3 linked regions of the Anolis sagrei genome follow. The protein of the gene in region 2 purifies or fractionates together with the protein of the main gene of each other region. This does not show direct contact. Links are inferred from orthologs where the notes say so. Each region holds a gene or a part of one and is shown on either strand. Other genes may lie near its edges. The genes, in order: RPP30, RPP21 and RPP40.

Region 1 (7,780 bases), on a different chromosome or scaffold from region 2:
GGTTTACAGATAAAAGGTGAACCCAACAAGGGTTTGCTTAATGCACCTTCTTCTTGGCATGCTTCCCCCTTTCTCCATTTGCACCCCTTCAAAATCTACAACGCTGTTGGTAATAACTAACGTTCCGTTAGAATACTCGAGGACCTGGGCTTTCCAGTTTCCTATGTTTATTCCACATTTTTGGTTAGCTTTAATCCCATCTTTAAATCTCTTTTGCTGTCCACCTTCATTTTGTTTTCCATTTGTGAGCTGGGAATAAACTAATTGCTTTGAGAGATGGTGAATGCTTGAGTGCTTGGATGTTTATTTCACATTTATTAAGTGTAAGCATTTTTTGTGTGCAAGCATAAGTTTAAACACTGGATTTGCATTGATAGGTAGACACAAAGGGGAACAGAGCTTGGGTAGCCATTCCAGCTCCTGAAAGGTATATGTCTATCAGTCCTACCCAAAAGTCAATCAGTGGTGCAGATTCAAATTTCATGTTGCAAATTGTTTAGTATATATTATCTCTAATCCATTCAGGAAGTTTTGTCCACATTTTCCCATTGTGACTGTTTCTTTCATGAATTCCCAATTAAAATTTTTGAATGCTTTTTCTGCATCTAAGAACAGGAGGGCTCCTTATTTTTCACTACACTTATGAAAATATTCTATCAGATTGAGTATCATTCTCGTGTTCTCTCTCATTTGTCTTCTAGGTAAGAAACCTGCTTGGTCTTCATGTATCCATCCAGTTAGCACTTTTTTTAATCCAGCAGTTCTCAAAGTGTGCTCTGCAGAGCCCTTGGGGCTCTGTCTAGCATACTGAGGGACTTCGTGGTTCCCTTCTTCTTAGTTAAAATTGTTTTCCATTTTTAATATTGTATTATTTCTTTCCTTTTCCTTTTTTCTTGCACAATGAATAAGATATGTGCAGTGTCATTGGAATTTGTTAGATTCCCATTAATTAGATTCACGTGCTTTATTTAATTATTTAAATTTATGAAGTAGTTATTGTACTTGCCTTAGATGTTTTATTCTTGGGAGTATTCGTTCATTTTGTATTGTTTTATGGCATTGACTGTTTGCCATTTTTCCTAGAAACCGCCCTGAGGGAGATAGGGTGGGTTACAAATAGAGTTTATTATCATTATGATGATTATTACTGTTTTTTTTCAAGCAGTTCACACAAACACACTCCATCCATCTGCCCCTAGCCCAGTCTGCTGTCAAATTTTAAAATGCAATGTGTCAAAAAGTTTGCCCATGCCTGATATATGTACATAAAGGTAAACGTAAAGATTTCCCCTGACATTAAGTCTAGGCATGTCTGACTCCAGGGAGTGGTGCCCATCTCCATTTCTAAACTGAAGAGCCAGTGTTGTCCAGAAACACCTCCAAGGTCATGTGGACAACATGACTGCACGGAGCACCATTACCTTCCTGCGGAGCGCCATCACCTTCCCGCAGAAGTGGTACCTATTGATCTACTCATATTTGCATGTTTCCGAACTGCTAGGTTGGCAGAAGCTGGGCCTTACAGGGGGAGCTCACCCGCTCCCCAGATTCGAACTGCCAGCAAGTTCAGCAGTTCAGTGGTTTAACCTGGTGCACCACCAGGGGGAACATATTTATTTTTTATTTATTTACGACATTTATATGCCACCCTTCTCACCCCCAACGGGACTCAGAGTGGCTTACTATATATATATATATATATATATATATATATACCCACACATACACACACACACATATATACACATACATACAATATATTATATTATTAGCATAGTGCAATATCAGTATTATATATTACTATATTGTACTATACCATTATATTGTAATATTATTAGTGATAACACATGTAATATAAAATCTATAATTATATCATATTATTATTGTTATTATATATTATCCTATATATTATACTATATATACAGTATATATAGTATAATATGTTATTAGTAATATTACATGTAATATAAAATCTATAATTATAATATCATATTATTATTGCTATTTTATATTATACTCTATATTATACTATATATACATTTTATATAGTACAATATATAGGATAATATATAAACATTCTTGGGCTCCACGTAAAAGTTTTGCTTCCAAAAGAGTTCCATGGCTGAAAATGTTTGAGAACCCCTGCTTTAATCTATTTGCCTGTATTAAAGCAAATATTGTATAATTTGTGTTTAGCAATGAAAAGGGTCTGTAATTCTGTATTTGTAGGGGATCTTGATCTTCTATTGGAATCAGTATAATATTGGCTTCTTTGCAGAACCCCTACATTGCTTTTGCAGAACCCTAGGGTTCCAAGGAACACAGTTAGGGAACTGCGGCTCTAAAGCAAAATCATGTTGCCCTTGAGATATTGTTGAACTGCAATGCCAGCATTCCTTATGGTTGGCTCTACTGACCAGGGCTGCTGAGAAGCACAGTTAAAGTACATCTGCCAAACTTTTTATGATTCCCAGCCCTGCTGTAAACTGTCATCAAGAAAGTTAGCAGGGTAATGCCTCCAAGTACAAAATGGTGTTATATCCGTTCAAAGCATGGCACAAGGCTGGCCCTAAAGTTAGTGAAAGAGAAATGATCATCTCAGGATACCTAAGATGTCAAGCAGTTGAAGGGAGAATGAGAAAATTAAGCAAAAATTAGTTTTTCTGGGGAAAATAATAAAAAGTATTTTTTTAAAAAAATGAAAAAAATTGTTTTGAATCAGGGAGCACACGACTCCTCTGTTGCGCCAGCTCCACTGGCTGCTAGTCTGCTACCGGGCACAATTTAAAGTGCTGGCTTTAGCCTATAAAGCCCTAAATGGTTCCGGTTCGGCTTACCTATCCGAACGTATCTCTCCTTATGAACCTGCTAGGACTTTAAGATCATCCGGGGAGGCCCTGCTCTCGATCCCGCCTTCCTTGCAGATGCATTTGGAGGGGACGAGAGACAAGGCCTTCTCAGTGGTGGCTCCTCGGCAATGGAACGCCCTTCCCAGGGATATAAAATTGGCTACCTCCCTTCTAGCATTCCTCAAAATTGTTAAGCCCTGGCTCTTCAAGCAAGCTTTTTCTATTGGAGCATAATTAGATGAAAACGAATATATGGACAACGAATATATAGAGCATAATTAGACAAAACGAATATATGGACAACAATTTTAGTAAGGAGACGCCGAGGACTTTGTTTTTATAGACATTATTGTTTCTTTTATATTACATACTAAATGTTGAATTGTTTTTATAATTGTTTGAACTGTATTTTGATAATTGTTATGGCATCTAATCACTGCCGACTATGAACCGCCTTGAGTCGCCTCTGGCTGAGAAAGATGGTATACAAATGCGGTAAATAAATAAATAAATAAATAAATAAAAACAACACAATGCACATTTTCCTGTATTTATTTCCAAAACTTACATTATTTCTAAAAATGATGTAACTTTTAAAAATGTAATAATAATACTTTGTTTATATATTGCAATATCTCCCCAAAGGGACTCAGGATAGTTTACAACAAAAGTAACAAAGTGGCAAGCATTCAATGCCAAAATGTATGTATTATGTCCAAACATTAAAGTTTTTGTTTTGATGCTCCTTTTCTCAGTTCTTTCAGGGTCTTTCCACATAGCCATATCATCCAGAATATCAAGGTAGATAATCCACAATACCTGCTTTGAACTGGATTATCTGAGTCCACACTGCCATACAATCCAGTTCAATATGGATTTTATACAGCTGTGTGGAAGGGGCCTTATTTATTTATTTATTTACAACATTTATATGCCAGCTTCTCACCACAAAGGGGACTCAGAGCGGCTTACAAGATATATATAGGTAAAGGTTGTCCCCGGACATTAGGTCCAGTCGTGTCCGACTCTGGGGGTTGGTGCTCATCTCCATTTCTAAGCTGACGAGCAGGCATTGTCCGTAGACACCTCCAAGGTAATGCGGCCGGCATGACAGCATGGAGCGCTATTACCTTCCTGTTACCTTCTACTCAAATTTGCATGTTTTCGAACTGCTAGATTGGTAGAAGCAGGGGCTAACAGCGGGAGCTCATCCCACTCCCCGGCGTTGTCCGTAGACACCTCCAAGGTAATGCGGCCGGCATGACCGCATGGAGCGCCCTTACCTTCCCGTTACCTTCTACTCACATTTGCATGTTTTCGAACTGCTATGTTGGCAGAAGCTGGGGCTGACAGCGGGAGCTCATCCCACTCCCCAGATTCGAACCTGCGACCTTTCAGTTTACAAGCTCAGCGGTTTAACCCAATGCGCCACCGGGGGCTCCCACAAGATATGTATGCATACAATATATTACATTATTAGCATAGTACAATATCAGTATTATATATTTCTACATTGTACAATACCATTATATTGTAATATTATTAGTAATATTACATGTCATATAAAATATATAATTATAATATCATATTAGTAGTATATATAGTCCTTATATCCCAGGATCTGATCCCAGATTATCTCCTTTGAACTGGATTATATGAGTCCCCACTGCCATATAATCCGGGATAAACAGATAATCTGGGATCACATCCTGGGATATAGGGCCTGTCTGGAAGGGCCCAGAGTTTACAGAATGGTATTGTATAGTATTAGTTGTGCCTATGTTTAGTTGCTCTTAAGCAAGCACAAACTACATTCATTTGGCATCTACTAAGGATGCTGGTGAGCTTGAGAGTCTACTGCTGGGGGAGGGAACTACAATCCCCAGCATGCAACGGGGCGCGATGTGGGCGGGGCGTGGAAGGGCTGCCTTTCTGGCCTGGCTCTAGCCCACGTGGGCGGGTGCAACATGGCGGGCTTTGTGGATCTGAACATCCCTCACTTGCCGGAGAAGGAGGCGCTTCGGAAGTTGGTGGAAACCGCGGCGCACCGTGAGTGTGTGTCAGGGGCAGGGAATCAGGCAGCCTGGGAATGCGTGGGAATGCGTGGACACGTGTTTCCCTCAGAGATCCAGACCCAGGCTGCGATAAAGGGCTGGCTGGCACTGTTTCTCCTTTCCCTTTGCTCTCTTTGGACCCTCTTCTGCCTTAACTAATTTGTCCCTTGGCTCCGTAAGAAACACCTCCTGATGCACTTTGACTTGGGTGCATCTACACTGTAGAATGAATGCGTTACAACTGCACTTTGCACTAGATCAATACTATGAGATCGTGGGAGTTGTAGTTTGATCAGGTCTTTAGCCTTCTCTACCAAAGGGCCCTTCCAGACATGCCCTGTATCTCAGGATCTGATTCCAGGTTTTCTGTTTATCCCAGATTATCTGGCAGTGTGGACTCATATAATCCAGTTTAAAGCAGACAACTTGGGATCTCTAGGTTGCTGTAGGTTTTCCGGGCTATATGGCCATGTTCTAGAAGCATTCTCTCCTGACGTTTCGCCTGCATCTATGGCAGGCATCCTAAGAGGTTATGACCTCACAACCTCTGAGAATGCCTGCCATAGATGCAGGCGAAACGTCAGGAGAGAATGCTTCTAGAGCATGGCCATACAGCCCGAAAAATCTACAGCAACCCAGTGATTCCAGAAATGAAAAGCCTTCGACAATAACTTGGGATCTGATCCTGGGATATAGGGCCTGTCTGGAAGGGCGAAACTACAACTCCCATGATCACATTGTATAGAGCCAGGGTAATAAATTCTTCAGTGTAGATGTAGCCCTTTACTGAGTCATCATATTCATCCATGTAAGGGCCCTTCCACACAAACCTATATTCCAGAATGTCAAGGCAAAAAATCCCTCAATATCTGCTTTGAACTGGGTTATCTGAGTCCACACTGCCATATAACCCAGTTCGAAGCAGATAATGTGAGATTTTATACAGCTGTGTGTAAGTGGCCTTAGCTGCCATATAAAATCCAGATGATCCGCTTTAACTGAATTATACGACAATGTAGACTCATATAATCCAGTTCAAAGCAGATAATAATTTATTTCTTACCCGCCTCTCTGCAGCCAAATAATGTTGGTTATATCTGCTTTGATAATCTGGATTATATGGCAGTGTAGAAAGGTCCCCAGTTTCTGAATACAGATTGTCTGGTTTAAACGGGATTATATGATAGTATACATCCAGGGCCCTTCTACACTACAGAATATCAAGGCAGAAAATCCCACAATATCTGCTTTGAACTGGGTTATCTGAGTCCACACTGTCATATATCCCAGATCAGCGTCAAATTATGTTATGATCTTACAAATTAATCACCAAAACATCATGTTTTACAACAAATCAACAGAAAAAGCAGTTCAGTATATGGTAACGTTATGTAGTAATTACTGTATTTATGAATTGAGCACCAAAACATTGCAATGTAGTGAAACAGGTGGGAGGCAAACTGTGTTGGATAATACAAAACACTGGATGAGCGAAGGTTGGATAAGCGAGACTCTACTGTAATAATTAGATTTCTTATCCGCCTCTCCCTGCGGCTCAGTCATGTGGATTATCTGCTTTGATAATTTGGATTATATGGCAGTGTAGAAAGGCCCCCATTTTCGGAATCCAGATTATTTGAACTGGATTAGATCGAGGTCTCTTCTACACTGCCAGTTGATCCAGAATATCAAGGCAGAAAATACCATAATGTCTGTTCTGAACTGTGTTATCTGAGTCCACACTGCCATGTATTTCAGTTCAAAGCAGAAAATGTGGGATTTTATTGAGGTGTGTAGAAGGGGGCACAGAATATCAAAGCAGACAATCCACATTATCTGATATCTCTTTCCGCTTCTATCCCCATCTACACTGCCCTATCATGCAGTATGGTCAGTGTAAATGCATTTCAAGGCATTATATGAATCTACACTAACTATACAAGTAATGTACACAACATACTTTGAATGATCACAAATTGCAAAATGAGTGATTCCTTTTCTTGCTAACATACACCGAATTGAATCAGTTTGCACCAAAATTTAATTCCTTTGTGTTTGCTTGGTATACAAGGAGCACTTCATATAATCAATGGATTGTTATTTTTATGATGATTTTTTGAAATTACTCTTCTTGTGAAAATAAAATTCAGCTTATTGGCTGAAGACCTCTGAGGTTTGGATGTGATGTTGTCTTAACTACTTTATAATGACAATAATCTATATATATAAATTTGTTAGGGGCATCCAACGAGGAAACAAAACTCAAAAACCCCCCAACGAAACTTAACCAAAATTCCCATGCCCATAACACAACCCACAAGGTACAAACATATCTACTCAAAATGAAAAACAACACAACAGCACACTCACAAAACGGCAAAACAACAAAACTCAAAAAACCCCCAATGAAACTTAACCAAAATCCCCGTGCCCATAACACAACCCACAAGGTACAAACATATCTACTCAAAATGAAAAACAACACAACAACACACTCACAAAACGGCAAAACAACAAAACTCAAACATCCCCCAACGAAACTTAACTAAAATCCCCGTGCCCATAACACAACCCACAAGGTACAAACATATCTACTCAAAATGAAAAACAACACAACAACACACTCACAAAACAGCAAAACAACAAAACTCAAAAATCCCCCAACGAAACTTAACCAAAATCCCCGTGCCCATAACACAACCCACAAGGTACAAACATATCTACTCAAAATGAAAAACAACACAACAACACACTCACAAAACGGCAAAACAACAAAACTCAAAAATCCCCCAACGAAACTTAACTAAAATCCCCGTGCCCATAACACAACCCACAAGGTACAAACATATCTACTCAAAATGAAAAACAACACAGCAA
Region 2 (7,734 bases):
CAGTTCTCAGTGGTTTAATGGAAGATCAAATATGCTGCATGATTTGAGGTTTTTTCACCACCCAGCATTTTTAGATTACAGCTCCCATGTCATTGGGTCTATAGATGCAGTCTAAGTTTTGGATAGCTTTAAAGGAGCTCTTCAAGATTCCCAGAACTGTGCAAGGGGCACCTACATGGTGTATCTTTGGACCATGACTCTTTGGACCATGACCCCAGACAGTGAACTTGGGCGTGCACATTCTCTAAGCCCACGAGAGAGACCAAAGGCAAACTCTTTCTGAACAAATCTAAGAAAATCATTAGGGTTGTCATAAACCAGAAACTACTTGAAAGCACACAACACTAACAACAACAACACTCTCTTGCTTCACTGCCATTTTTTCCATCTTTTTGTGTGTGCCCCCCCCCCCCCCCATACACACACATCCAAAATTGGAATTGCTTTGAAATACATTTGTTGGCAAATCAAAAGTTAAGCCAACTGTTTATAGGAGACACTGACACATACATAAATTATAATGATGAAATATATGGGGCCACAATACACCTCACAAAAACTTTTCATGTTTATTTTTAAAATATATGATTTGTTCAGTTCTTGTGGGTTTTTTTGAGCTATATAGCCATGTTCTAGAGGCATTTCTCCTGACGTTTCACCTGCATCTATGGCAAGCATCCTCAGAGACCTCACCTCTGAGGATGCTTGCCATAGATGCAGGCAAAACGTCAGGAGAAATGCCTCTAGAACATGGCCATATAGCCCGAAAAAACCCACAAGAACTGAGTGATTCCAGCCATGAAAGCCTTCGACAATATATGATTTGTTGCTTATTTTTCATAGACTTGAGAAGTTTCTCATTACGTTTGTGCGACACAGCTACATGCTGCATCCGACACCCTAACATGTAATGACACACAGTTTAGAAAGCTCTGAATTAGAGGTTCCTCATCATATCACACATTTAACCTTCATGCATTTGGATGCCACACACAGAAGGGAGGAAATGAAAAGTCTCACCTCCTATGTACACAATGCAGAATTCGGAAATTCTCAGCCAAATTCACAGTTCACTCCAAAGAAGTGTGGAACACCTCATCTTCAGCAGAACTTCTCAACTTGAGAGAAACAAACACGCAGTCAATGATTATATGCAGCAATATTTGCTCCTGAGTCAACAGTGTTTGTATGTGTGGAGAAGTCTTATCATGAGTGACTTGGTAGGCCCCAAGAATGAAGGCCAAAGCCTACAAAAACAAAAACTTCATATTATGATACCAAGTGGTATCATAACATGAAAGGAAGTCTCAGGTGCAAATGTAGTCTCAGCTCCTAATTATGAAGTATGTAAAGTGTGAATTGAAACGCAGCTTGGACCTTGATTTGTGATGGTCGTTTCACCAGGGACAACCTCAGAACATCTTTTAATGCTGGAAATCATAGAATACAGTATTGGAAGAAACATCAAGAGTCATTCAGTCCAATCTCGTTCTGTCATGCAAGAATATAGGGTCTGAGCACTCCTGACATGGCCATCCAACTTCTATTTTAAAACCTCCAGAGAAGGAGACTCAGAATATATTCACCTTGCTAAAATCACCAGAACTGCACACAGACAGAAGTTTTTGTAGTTTATCAAAAAGTAAAGATGAAAAGTTTAAAAAGCAAACAATGTTCCAAAGATCAATAAAACATAGCACTGTAAAGCACAATTCCAAATGGTACCAACAAAACAAAACAAAATGAGAACATGACAAAATCCCAAGACCATGGACACAGGAAAACGAGCACAAGTGCTTGATTGACTGATTTCCAGCTGGTGGGAAGGAAGCATGAAATGAGCAAGGCCATGTTCAGAACTACTCTCACCTGCTTCTCAACTCCATTCTCCTTTTATCAGTCATGGGATGACAAGCATGTGATAATGCTGTGAATTATAACTCCAGCTGTAGCCTGAAGCATATGTTCTCCGCAAATCATAGTTCAGCACTTACAATACTGACATATTGACCATACTGACCATGTCACACTACACAGAGAAGCCATTGAAATACACAAGCATGTGGACAATTTCAACAGAAAGGAGGAAACCATGAAAATGAACAAAATCTGGCTACCAGTATTAAAAAAAACTCTAAAATTGCAACAGCACAACAACAGAGAGGAAGCAGGCAGGGACATCTAATTACCTCTCAACAAACGTTTGCTCCAGGCACAGTCAGCCCATTGTATGCTAATCAAGGTGGTTAGTTGAAACATTCACACCTAGCTCCAGCAGACAAGAGTCCTTTGTCTCACCCTGGCCATTCCACAGATATATAAACCCTTTTTCCTAGTTCCAACAAACCTCACTACCTCTGAGGATGCTTGCCATAGATGCAGGCGAAACGTCACGAGAGAATGCCTCTAGACCATGGCCATACAGCCCGAAAAAACTTACAACCCAATACTGACATAGTTTGGACTTTTAATGCTGGTGTTATTTTCTTAAGTTTGTATAGAGCTAATTTTCATTCATTTTAACAATGGACCCAGATCACAAGGTTTTAATCCATTGCGCCACCAGGGGCTCCTTGCCATTCAATAACATCTGGGGACCCAAACTGAGCATTGAACATTGTGTGGGTATAGTTGGTCCTCTGTATCCACTGATTCTCCATCCATGGATTCAAAGCACCTTTGAAGGCAACCATAAGGCGGTAGTGACCCTCGATGATAATGGGTTTGACACGGTGGCGCAGTGGGTTAAACCCTTGTTGCCAGCAGGACTCAAGACCAACAGATCAGAGGTTTGATTCTGGGGAGTGTGCGGATGAGCTCCCCCTGTCAGCTCCAGCTCCCCATGCGGGGACATGAGAGAAGCCTCCCACAAAGATGGTAAAACATCAAAACATCAGGGTGTCCCCTGGGCAACGTCATTGCAGACAGCCAATTCTCTCACATCAGAAACGATTTGCAGTTTCCCAAGTAGCTCCTGACACAAGGAGAAAAAAAACTATTATAAGACCATGCAAAACTACAGCTCCCATTGTACATAGCACTGAGCCATGGCAGTTAAAGTGGTGTCAAACTGCATTTATTCTACACTGCAGATCCACTCATTGCATTAATTCTAAGGCGTAGATGCAAAGGATCTGCTTGCAGCATAATAAGCTTGCAGATCTAGAGACATACGAGGGTTGAATGAAAAGTAATGCCTCCACCTTTGTAACTTCTCAACAGATGGCAGCACTGGTATGCAGCAGGTACTGGCTTGTTCAGTAGACTCTCCTCTACAGTTCCATTTTGGCAGAAAGCCTTAGCATTCAACGGTTGAGTTGTTAAAATGCAAAGTATGGAACCCTGCTCAGACGGTCGGTCAATGCAACTTAAGCAACGTGCAGTCATTGAATTCTTGACAGCAGAAGGTGTCACCCCAAAGGAGATTCATCAGAGAATGCAAGCTGTTTATGGTGATTGTGTTGATGTTGAGGTGGGAACATCTGATTTGCGTGACAAACAAATAGTTGGACGTCCTGTGACAGCAACCACCGAGTTTCACAAGCAAAAGGTTGACAGATTGATTCAGGATGATCGTCGTATCGCTCAGAGAGAAATTTCAAGCATAATCGGCATTTCACAAGAACATATGGGTCACATTATTGCTTTGCTTGGCTATCAGAAGATCTGTGCAAGATGGGTACACTGCAGAACTTCAGAGACAGGATCCCACCATAGAATCATAGAATCAAAGAGTTGGAAGAGACCTCATGGGCCATCCAGTCCAACCCCCTGCCAAGAAGCAGGAATATTTCATTCAAATCACCCCTGACAGATGGCCATCCAGCCTCTGTTTAAAAGCTTCCAAAGAAGGAGCCTCCACCACACTCCGGGGCAGAGAGTTCCACTGCTGAATGGCTCTCACAGTCAGAAAGTTCTTCTTCATGTTCAGATGGAATCTCCTCTCTTGTAGTTTGAAGCCATTGTTCCGCGTCCTAGTCTCCAGGGAAGCAGAAAACAAGCTTGCTCCCTCCTCCCTGTGGCTTCCTCTCACATATTTATACATGGCTATCATATCCCCTCTCAGCCTTCTCTTCTTCAGGCTAAACATGCCCAGCTCCTTAAGCCGCTCCTCATAGGGCTTGTTCTCCAGACCTTTTATCATTTTAGTCGCTCTCCTCTGGACACTTTCCAGCTTGTCAACATCTCCCTTGAATTGTGGTGCCCAGAATTCGGCATCCTCCATACAGTCCAGATTTAGCACTGGCTGTCTTCCATCTGTTTCCGACAATGAAAGAAGATCTGCAGGGACATCATTATGTTTCTGATGAAGATGTTGAGAGAACTATGAGACGCTGGTTGCGGAAACAGTGTCGACTTGTTCCGTGACGGCTTCAGAAAACTTTGTTCATCGTTGGCAGAAATGTATCCAATTGTCCGGTGATTATGTGGAAAAAGTGAATAGTGGTAGTTAAAGAGCACATTCTAAGGATTATTTCTGCGTTTGATTTATTAAAATATTCCCATCCAAACCCAAGTAACGAAGGTGGAGGCATTACTTTTCATTCAACCCTGGTATATTGTTAGTCCTCCTGGCTAGAGGGCATCCTTGCACAAACAGTTTCATTGAAAGGAACCGGAAGGGACTACATTTCCCACAGGCCTTTGCTGCTCCAAAAACAGGAACACATCCCAACCAGGATCTTTATTAAGGCGACTAATCAAAGAGAGAAGCTTTTTTCTCATCCCTGGGTTTAAGAGTCAACTGGAGGAAAAGCAAAGTGGATTCTTCCAGGAGAATTAAAAGGCAAGGAACTCCTCTGTGTTGCTTTGGCTGCAGCAGGTTCTGTATCTGAGTTGTTTTTACACGTGTATTGCATTCCCACGTGCTTGTATATATTGCACAGGGTTGCAGCCCTGATCTGTAGCAGTCTATTGCTTGAAAGACCTGTGTGCTTGCTTATTTGTTTTGTTCTCTGTAGGATGGGTTGCATCTCCACTGCAGTTTGATACTGCTTTAACTGTCATTTTTTATTTATCGTGTCATCAGCAACCATTGTATTACAATTCTAACAGAGCAAAACAAACACAGAGATTAAAAAGAAAAGGAAAAAGAAGAAAGAAAGAGAAAAAAAAAAAAAAAAACCATACAGATTTTGCAAAATTTGGTATTTGGTTAAATGTCCTTTGACCAGTATCTGGCCACTTGGAGTGCCTCTGGGGTTGCCGCAAGAAGGTCCTCCATCGTGCATGTGGCAGGGCTCAGGGTGCATTGCAGCAGGTGGTCAGTGGTTTGCTCTTCTCCGCACTCGCATGCCGAGGATTCCACCCTGTAGCCCCATTTCTTAAGATTGGCTCTGCATCTCGTGGTGCCAGAGCGCAATCTGTTCAGCGCCTTCCAAGTCGCCCAGTCTTCTGAGTGCCCAGGGGGGAGTCTCTCATCTGGTATCACCCATGAATTGAGGTGCTGGGTTTGGGCCTGCCACTTTTGGACTCTCGCTTGCTGGGGTGTTCCAGCGAGTGTCTCTGTAGATCTAAGAAAACTATGTCTTGATTTAAGTCGTTGGCGTGCTGGCTGATACCCAAACAGGGGATGAGCTGGAGATGTCTCTGCCTTGGTCCTTTCACTATTGGCTGCTACTTCCCGGCGGATGTCAGGTGGTGCAATACCGGCTAAGCAGTGTAATTTCTCCAGTGGTGTGGGTCGCAGACACCCTGTGATAATGCGGCATGTCTCGTTAAGAGCCACATCTACTGTTTTAGTGTGGTGAGATGTGTTCCACACTGGGCATGCATACTCAGCAGCAGAGTAGCATAGCGCAAGGGCAGATGTCTTCACTGTGTCTGGTTGTGATCCCCAGGTTGTGCCAGTCAGCTTTCGTATGATGTTGTTTCTAGCGCCCACTTTTTGTTTGATGTTCAGGCAATGCTTCTTGTAGGTCAGAGCACGGTCCAAAGTGACTCCCAGGTATTTGGGTGTGCTGCAATGCTCCAGTGAGATTCCTTCCCAGGTAATCCTCAGAGCTCGGGATGCTTGTCTGTTCTTAAGGTGAAAGGCGCATGTCTGTGTTTTAGATGGATTAGGGATCAGATGGTTTTCCCTGTAATAGGCAGTAAGAGCGCCTAGAGCTTCGGAGAGCTTCTGTTCTACCATCTCAAAGCTCCCTGCTTGAGCAGTAATGGCACGATCATCAGCATAGATGAAACTCTCTGTCCCTTCTGGCAGTGGCTGGTCATTTGTGTAGATGTTGAACATGGATGGAGCAAGCACGCTCCCCTGAGGCAGGCCATTCTTCTGTTTCCGCCATCTGCTTCTCTGGCCCTGGAACTCAACAAAAAAGCTCCTGTTTTGTAGCAGGTTTCCTATGAGGCGGGTGAGGTGGTAGTCCTTTGTGATATTATACATTTTTCTCAGGAGGAGGCGGTGGTTCACAGTATCATAGGCTGCTGACAAGTCTATGAAGACAGCTCCTGTGATCTGCTGCCTTTCAAAGCCATCTTCTATGTGCTGAGTCAGGTTCAGCACTTGCGATGTGCAGCTTTTGCCTTTTCTGAAGCCAGCTTGCTGTGGGATCAAACAGGGGTCTATATTTTCCATAATTCTATGCAAAATAAGTCTCTCCAGAACTTTGTAGAGGTGGCACAACAGGGAGATTGGTCTGTAGCTTTTTGGGTCATTACGGTCTTTGCCTGGCTTCAAGATGGCGATGACTCTTGCTTTCCTCCAGATTTTGGGGATCTGACAGGATGCAGTGCAGTTGTTCATCAGCTCCAGCAGCCAGCGCCTTGCTTTTGGGCCAAAGTTCTTGATTTGTTCCATCCGTAGATCATCCAAGCCAGCTGCTTTGCCATTCTTACATTTGTTGAGAGCCATGTCCAATTCAGTAGATGTAAAAGGTTCATGGAGGTTATTGTTCTCAATCTCTGGTTGTCTGGCTATTGGTTTCTTTCCTACTTTGGTGGCAAGGTTGGGTTTCCCATTCTTCAAGAGTTGGTGTGCTATCTGATCTGCCTTTATGTTGGCATGGGTATTAGTTTGTGAGGGATCGTTGCTCAGCCGTCTCAGCAGCCTCCACGCCTTCTGGCTGCTCCTGCCCATGTCGACCTCTGTGATCAACTTGATCCACTGATCTTTCTTGGCTTCAGAGATGGAGGACACAATGCTCTGCGCTGCCTGTCATGGCTCAATGCTATGGAATTTTGGAGAGCTGTAGTTTTGCAAGGTCTTTTAGCCTTCTCTACCAAAGAGTGCTGGTGCCTCACCAAACTACAGCTCCCAGAATTCCATAGCATTGATCCAGGCTGTTGGCCCCAATTAAGGAAGCAACCCCTGGCAGTGAGACCAGAACACTTTAAGTGTCTGAAGCAGTGGTTCTCAACCTGGGGTCCCCAGATGTTTTTGGCCTACAACTCCCAGAAACCCCGGCCAGTTTACCAGCTGTTGGGATTTCTGGGAGTTGAAGGCCAAAAACATTTGGGGACCCTAGATTGAGAACCACTGGTCCGAAGCCTTTGGAACTCTCTGCTGCAGGCATGAAAGGAACAAATAATAATTTTGCCCAGGCGGGTTTCATGCAACAAGACCAATTAAAGTAGTGTCAAACTGCATTAATTCTCCTGTGCAGATCGGGCATGGGCAAACTTGGACCCTCTAGGTGTTTTGGACTTCAACTCCCACAATTCCTAACAGCCTCAGGCCCTTTCAGAGCCTGAGGCTGTTAGGAATTGTGGGAGCTGAAGTCCAAAACACCTAGA
Region 3 (7,197 bases), on a different chromosome or scaffold from region 2:
CTCTGTTACAAACTCATGAAGGGGCAATTTCTTCACCAAGTAGTACTCCCCAAAGTCTCCAACTGCATTTTTCAGTATTTCTGGAACCATTCCACATTCAGGGATCAACAAGGACACCTATTCACAGAACATTTGGGACACGAATGAGATCTAATTGACAAATCTGACTGCAAAATCTCTTTTTAAGCAGCTCTTTTGATAACATACAATTATAACAATACAAAGTACTTTAAATGAAATATTGCAATAGCAAGTAAAATTATTAAGATGCTATTATGCACACATCAAATAATACTTTTCAGTTTCAGTTTCAGTTTTTTTCCCATATCAGAAATGGCTTGAGAAACTGCAAGTTGCTTATAGTGTGCGAGAATTGGCCATCTACAAGGACTTTGCCCAGGAGATGCCCAAATGTTTTACCATCCTGTAGGAGGCTTCTCTCATGCCCGGACAGACAGGAATTCACCCCATCTCGCGGATTCAAACTGCCGACCTTCAGGGTCTCACTACCTCTGAGGATGCTTGCCATAGATGCAGGTGAAACGTCAGGAGAGAATGCCTCTAGAACATGGCCATATAGCCCGAAAAAACCTACAACAACCCAGTGATTCTGGCCATGAAAGCTTTCAACAATGCATTGCATTTACTGCGTTTCCATCTGACTCTTCCCTCCACATCTCCCATTTCACTCTAATTTAATGCAGTTGGACACCAGTTAACTGACATGCTCAGTGCTATGGGATCATGGGAGTTGTAGTTTGAAAATGTCTTTAGCATTCTATGGCAAGTAATGTTGTTGCCCCAGCAAACTATAACCTTGACTTCTTTGGCTAATAAGAATAGCCAATTGAGCAACTGGAGACCTGTAGTTTCGGGGGACTCAGACCAGTATCTTGGCCTGAGATCCACTTTGGACCATAGACCAACCCTGAAGCAGCGCTCTCTCTTTCTGGATAAAAACAGGCTTTCTGCGAGCTGCTTGGGACAGATAGTTTTCTCTGTGACTGGTGAATTATGTGGAATTTTTAAGATGTACTTGTACTGCTGAAATAAACTTGACCTAGTGCTACAAGCAGGTTGGATCAAAAGCAATGCCACACTTAGATCCTTTGTAGGAGCAATAGCTCTCTGGGACTCCTCCAGGTCTCCGCACATAGTCAGGAGTTCCCTGGGCTTGAGAGGGCAATATAATGGAAGACATGCCATATGTTGAATTCCAACTACAGAAGCTGTTTATTGCGGACATAGTAATAAGGACAAGATGCATGGGACACAAAATGTCTGTCACACCCCCAAATGGGGTCGCAAGGCTTTTATCGCTTTGACAGAGAATTAAAGACACATTCTCATTGGTCTAAGCTGGCTGATACAATTTTCACTGCCTCTATATGACTTTGACAGGCATGAAGGCACACATGGGATCTTAACAATGGCACAACAATAATCTATTGTTCTCTGGCCATGAACACTCAGTTGGAAAGTATCTATAGGTCAATTACTTCAAGCGGCTGGGAAATTAGGGAAGTATTAGAGAGTACTTTATGTACAACTCTGGTCCTTGGCAGCCAGTTAGGCCCCAATAGGGCTAGATTTACACTGCCATATAATCCAGTTTCTGAATCGAGATTCTTTGCTTTGAACTACATTATGAGAGTCTACACTGCCATATAACCTAGTTTTAAGATGATATTCTGGATCTGGAAACTGGGTTATATGGCAGTGGGTTCAGAAACTGGGTTATATACCATATAACCTAGTTTCTGAATCCAGAATATCACCTTTAAGCTAGATTATATGGCAGTGTAGATTATAATCTAGTTCAAAGCATAGATCCAGCCCTAGTGTGTGTTATCTATCTGTCTTCGTGCTTGATTTCAGGGCCCTTTCCAGCTCTATGTAATTTAGTCCTTTCCAACACTACACTCCATTCCTAAGGAATGTATAGGCCAGGGGTCCTCAAACTATGGCCCGGGGGCCGGATATGGCCTTCCAAGGTCATTTATCCGGCCCTTGCTCAGGGTCAACCTAAGTCTGAAACGACTTGAAAACACACAATAACAACAACAATCCTATCTCATCAGCCAAAAGCAGACCCACACTTCCCATTGAAATACTAATAAGTTTGGGCTGTTGTAGGTTTTTTCGGGCTATATGGCCATGGTCTAGAGGCATTCTCTCCTGACGTTTCGCCTGCATCTATGGCAAGCATCCTCAGAGGTAGTGAGGTAAAACGTTTGTGGATCCCTGGTATAGACCATAATGGGAGAACCAGTATGGCATGGCGGTTGGAGTGTTGGGCTATGACTCTGGAGACCAGGGTTCAAATTCCAGCTTGCCTCTGACAGATTCGACATAGAATCACCGCAAGTTGCAAGTTCTCAATGAGGGTAAACAACAATACCTCACTGAGAACTTCAGGATACAACTTTGTGTTGTTGTTGACTGCCATCAAGTGGAATTCCACTTATGGAGACCCTACAAACATACAAGACATGGTGCCATAATGGAATTGCCACTAGCAGGCCAGGGCTCGTGGAAATAAGTGAAGTGCACTGAGGTTCATATGCATGAGGGTAAGGGTTCATCTACACCCTAGATTTAATGCAGTTTGACACCACTTCAACTGCCCTCAGTCAATGCTATGGAATCAGGACCATGGAAAACTGCAAAGGATGGTGGCATCACCAGAGGGCGGGGGGGGGAGGAGTATTCTACTGCCTTAAAGTGACGTCACGCTTCTCTTCAGAGAGCCTCGACCACGCCCCCTCCAGCAGACCAACAATTCTTGCCGCCACGCGCCGCCCCCCCTCCTCCCTCCCGCGCGCTCACCCGGCAATTGAAGGCGTGGTTGCGCACGTGCGCCGCGTGGCGGGAGCGCTCGTGCCGCACGTGGCTCCTCTCGCACACCAGCAGGTGGCGGGGAGTCTCGCGGAGCCATCTCAGAGGGACGAACATGCTTTCCTCTTCCTTTTCTCTCCGGTCGCGCGCCCAAGCTGAGAGAAGGGCCAAGGAGGGGGCGGGGCCTGAACGTCACGCGCAGCCGGGAGAGAGAGAGAGAGAGAGAGAGACGAGGAGGAGGAGTTGTCAGAAGGGGGCGGGGCGATCTGTGCGCATGCGTATTTTCCTGCTTGGGGGAAGCGCTCCTCCCAATACCTCGTTGCCCTCACTGGAATGGCCAAAGTGAAGTTGTTGCTTCTTGTCCCAAGGAAAGAAGTTTTGATTCTTGTGGTTATAATAAGCAATGTCTTTAGCAGCAGTATATTGTCAGGAGCTGTCTCTCTTATTATGCAAAATATTAGGACAGGGAGTAGAATTGTACTGAATATACAGTCCATACTTCAGGAAATAAAGCCCAACTGCTCATTGGAGGGAAGAATAGTAGGGGCAAAGATGAAGTACTTTGGTCACATCATGAGAAGAAAGGAAAGCTTAGAGAAGACAATTATGCTGGCGAAAATGGAAGGAAAAAGGAAGAGGGGCCGACCAAGGGCAAGGTGGATGGATGGTATCCTTGAGCTGATGGTGGTGACGGCCGACAGGGAGCTCTGGCATGGGCTGGTCCATGAGTTCACTAAGAGTTGGAAACAAATGACATTATGGTGATTTTGTCAGTGGCAATTGTTTTTAATGCTAGCCAAGGACTGTTGCAAAGGTGTAAAAAAGCAGGGCATGTGGCCATGCAAATGTTATTAACAATGTAGACCACACAAGCTAGGAGAGGCTGCAGCCGTTTGCTTTTGCCCAAGTCTATTGGGAAGGGCGAGATTCTATCTCCTTCCTGTCTGCAAAGTCAATTGAGTGCAAACTACTTTGCATTTTGAACTCAGTTTGCAGCAGTTAGAAAGCTGGGAGGACAAGGAAGACTATGAGTTATGGAAGGAGAAACTGTTGTAATTTTTCTTAAACAGCTGAAAAATGGGATGAGAGAATATTTACCAGAGTTCTCTGTGCCAAAGAGGGACAGGAAGATGGTATGTATACATAGAATCAAAAGATTGTGAGCCCAGAAATTGGTATTTAGCACAGCTGTCATTTTGTTACTGCTTATTATTCAACATTTCAGAAAGTTTTGCACATCATCCAGCTTTGCCTTCTGCCCATCTCTTCTGTAGCTGATGTTTCTGGTTCTAAATACCATGTTAAAAAATAGTTGCCACCTGACAACGTGGAGCTGTCAGTTTCCTTTATTTTCTTAGCATATTAAGGATTTGTCACTTTGAAAAGAAAGCCACTGCAGTTAAGATCTGAAATTGCTTTTTACGTGCTTTCTTCTTGTCCCTTTTTTGTTTCATTTTGTGTCTTTTAAAACTGGGAGCACAGACTATGTCATTACTGATCTTTTAAACGCCCCGAGAGCCATTTACAGTTGAAGAGCAGGGTGAAATACTTCAAATAAATAAAATAAGGTGTAGGATCTAAATGCTTGCATCTGGAGCTGAGTGTCAAATCTGCACTCATTACATTCATTGAATTAGACTCAGGTATGTCATTCTCAAAGCCATAGGGGAGGCACGCATGAAAAACAAGTGTGTGCCATCAAAATTACATACAGGACAAAATATAATAAATCAATTGGTTGTCCTCCATTGTTTACGCAACGCTTTTTCCTGAAGTGACATCTCTAATCAATGTTCATTTTATACACACCTAATTGCTTGCTTCAAAGAGCAAGATGTTCCAGGCAATTGAATTTTCTGAATATATAATACCTAATGTTTGTGAATACCTGTTGAGGCAGGAGTTTCCAAGCAACTGTTATGCATGTTTTCACATATGACAACAAAAGCATTTCTTTCTCTTCATGATACAGTTCAACAAAATAGAGTTAGACTATGTTCCCCCAATTACTGTCATTTCACTAATGTCACTTACACTATGTAAAAAGTTAGTAGTGAATTTTACCTTTCACTCTTAACAACCGTCTTGTGAGAAAGTAAATATGGTCAGTTTTGATTACAGTGCAACTTACTTATCCACAGATTCGATATCCACAGTTTCACTTAACCACGTTTCAAAAAGTATTCCCCCCCCCACACACACACACACATACAAACACTCCAGAAGTGTTTGTGGACCTTTCTAGGCTCTCCAGTGCAATTAAATGGTGCGCTTGTAGTCAAAATATAGGGTTTGTTATTATCTATGGTTTCAGGAACCCACTGGGTGGTATTGATTTTGGATCGTCTCCCCACAAATACGGGGTTGCATTGTACTCATATTGAGTACTTATGTTTTATAGCCACCCTGTTATCATGAGAAAACCCATAGATGAAGCAATATAAACAATGCAGATAAATCTAAGCATAATATTAAATTCTTTGTTTCTCAAACAATTATTTGAATAGTTTCCATAAGGGAACTTCAACTGGATAGATATCATATAGGGGTGTCAACCTTTTACTTCTACTAAGTTCCTTATCAGAATGTTTGTCATATTTGTTACTTAAATAGAAAGAAATCGATGCCCATAGGAAATTTCCTCCCATTGAGGACAACAGAGGCACAATGAGAGTATTCTGATCAAAAGCATGGTCAGTGGTAAGAGTGAAATCTACCTTCTCTGACATGATTTCAGGCTTCTGCCATTCCCCCTTTCAATGGCTGTCTTACCAAAAATCAAGCATGACATGGTAAACTACTGTGAACTTTACTCTTGTAGTTTTCAAATGGATGGCTAGTGCTTTGGTTATAATATTTCATAATAGGAGTTGGTTGCGTTAGTGCTTTCTTGTGTATCAGGAGTGACTTGAAAAACTGCAAGCCGCTTCTCGTGTGAGAGAATTGGCCATCTGAAAGGACGTTGCCCAGGGGACATCCGGATGTGTTTGATGTTTTACCATCCTTGTGGGAAACTTCTCTCATGTCCCCTCATGGGGAGCTGGAGCTGACAGAGGGAGCTCATCCATGCTCTCCCCAGATTCAAACCTCAGACCTTTTGGTCTTCGGTCGTGCCGGCACAAGGGTTTAACCTATTGCGCCGCCGATGGCTCCTTATTGCTGATGCATTGTTATCTTAGTATATAAAATGTTAAGGTGTTGAAGCACTAGTTCCCAATTTGAAAATAACATTTATTATCCTACAAATAAAAGTAAGTGTTTAATGACCAAATAAGGCATCTTGTCATTTTATATGAGCAATCCTTATGCATTATAAAAATATTTCATTTTAAGATGTGAAAAGCTTTTAACCTCTGGCAATCTCCTTTAATATTCTGAGTAAATTGACAAATGAATGACCTAAGAAAATACAATTGAGTAAATCCAGTTTTATGAAATTACAGAAGAATATATTATCAGGTAGCCTGTACAGAATGCTTTCAGGTAATAGTCTACAAAAACATAAAGTAAGATGGAATTTGGAAAGTTATTTCTTGTAATAGATTGCAAAATAATTGCTATTTCTTCAAATTCTATTTATAAAAGAATACCGTTCAAACTATAAGGGAAGTACTTCTTGTGAATGCCCATTCCTTCCTCTACATATGAGAATTGTGCCCAAGGCTGAAAAAAGGCACTTTGTTGCTGATGAAGACTAAAAAAAAAATATATCAGATTGCAATATGGAGCAGAAAATCAAATTAAAGGTTAATGCAATTTTAATGTTCATGCAGCCAGCCTAATTTGTTGCAGTGAAGGGCATAATTAAAAGCTAATTAAGTAAAATGAATTCTTACACTTTTAATGCCATGTTTATTCCACTCTACCATCTGGAAAAGCCATCAGAGAACCACACCTTCCATTTAAAAAAAATAATATTTTGTTAAAATAAAACCTGTTATTGCATTCAAATATAAGTTGGTATCATGTTGGGGCATTTTTCCAGCATAATCTCTGATTACACTGGGATTGTACTTTATATGTTTGTATTTGGAGGTATCAGTACCCTCTTAGGTAAGAAGTTATTTATTGCAGACGTGAATAACAGTGCAATATGCTAGTTTGATGATGATGATAAAAATTGTTAATTTCCTCTCCTCACAGCTCAAGGCAAGGTACAACACAGTCAAAATACATTCACATAGAATACATACTATAAAATACATATATTAAAACACATTACTATAAATGCATATAGATTAAAAGACATCGTACAAATATTAAAATACAATAGAAGTGGAATGTGAATTTAAAATTCATAATTCAAAATTGACTGGGGAGGCCTGCTGGAAGAGATAGGTCTTAATTTGTCTCTTAAGT

What was found.
Region 1: the proteins of RPP21 (region 2) and RPP30 purify together in Homo sapiens (co-immunoprecipitation; 3 studies listed by BioGRID and IntAct, counting the BioPlex papers as one, with this or other methods). This does not show direct contact. The link is inferred for Anolis sagrei from reciprocal best matches to the Homo sapiens genes RPP21 and RPP30.
Region 3: the proteins of RPP21 (region 2) and RPP40 purify together in Homo sapiens (co-immunoprecipitation; 3 studies listed by BioGRID and IntAct, counting the BioPlex papers as one, with this or other methods). This does not show direct contact. The link is inferred for Anolis sagrei from reciprocal best matches to the Homo sapiens genes RPP21 and RPP40.

Annotation. Positions count from the first base shown.
Region 1 is NC_090023.1:184,795,041-184,802,820, forward strand, and holds the start of RPP30 (ribonuclease P protein subunit p30), read left to right. Parts: upstream 1-4,771; 5' UTR 4,772-4,816; coding exon 4,817-4,898; intron 4,899-7,780. UniProt on the Homo sapiens protein: Component of ribonuclease P, a ribonucleoprotein complex that generates mature tRNA molecules by cleaving their 5'-ends. Also a component of the MRP ribonuclease complex, which cleaves pre-rRNA sequences.
Region 2 is NC_090022.1:23,636,479-23,644,212, forward strand, and holds the start of RPP21 (ribonuclease P protein subunit p21), read left to right. Parts: upstream 1-4,646; 5' UTR 4,647-4,786; intron 4,787-7,734. UniProt on the Homo sapiens protein: Component of ribonuclease P, a ribonucleoprotein complex that generates mature tRNA molecules by cleaving their 5'-ends.
Region 3 is NC_090024.1:86,369,588-86,376,784, reverse strand, and holds the start of RPP40 (ribonuclease P protein subunit p40), read right to left. Parts: upstream 3,072-7,197; 5' UTR 2,956-3,071; coding exon 2,830-2,955; intron 118-2,829; coding exon 1-117. UniProt on the Homo sapiens protein: Component of ribonuclease P, a ribonucleoprotein complex that generates mature tRNA molecules by cleaving their 5'-ends. Also a component of the MRP ribonuclease complex, which cleaves pre-rRNA sequences.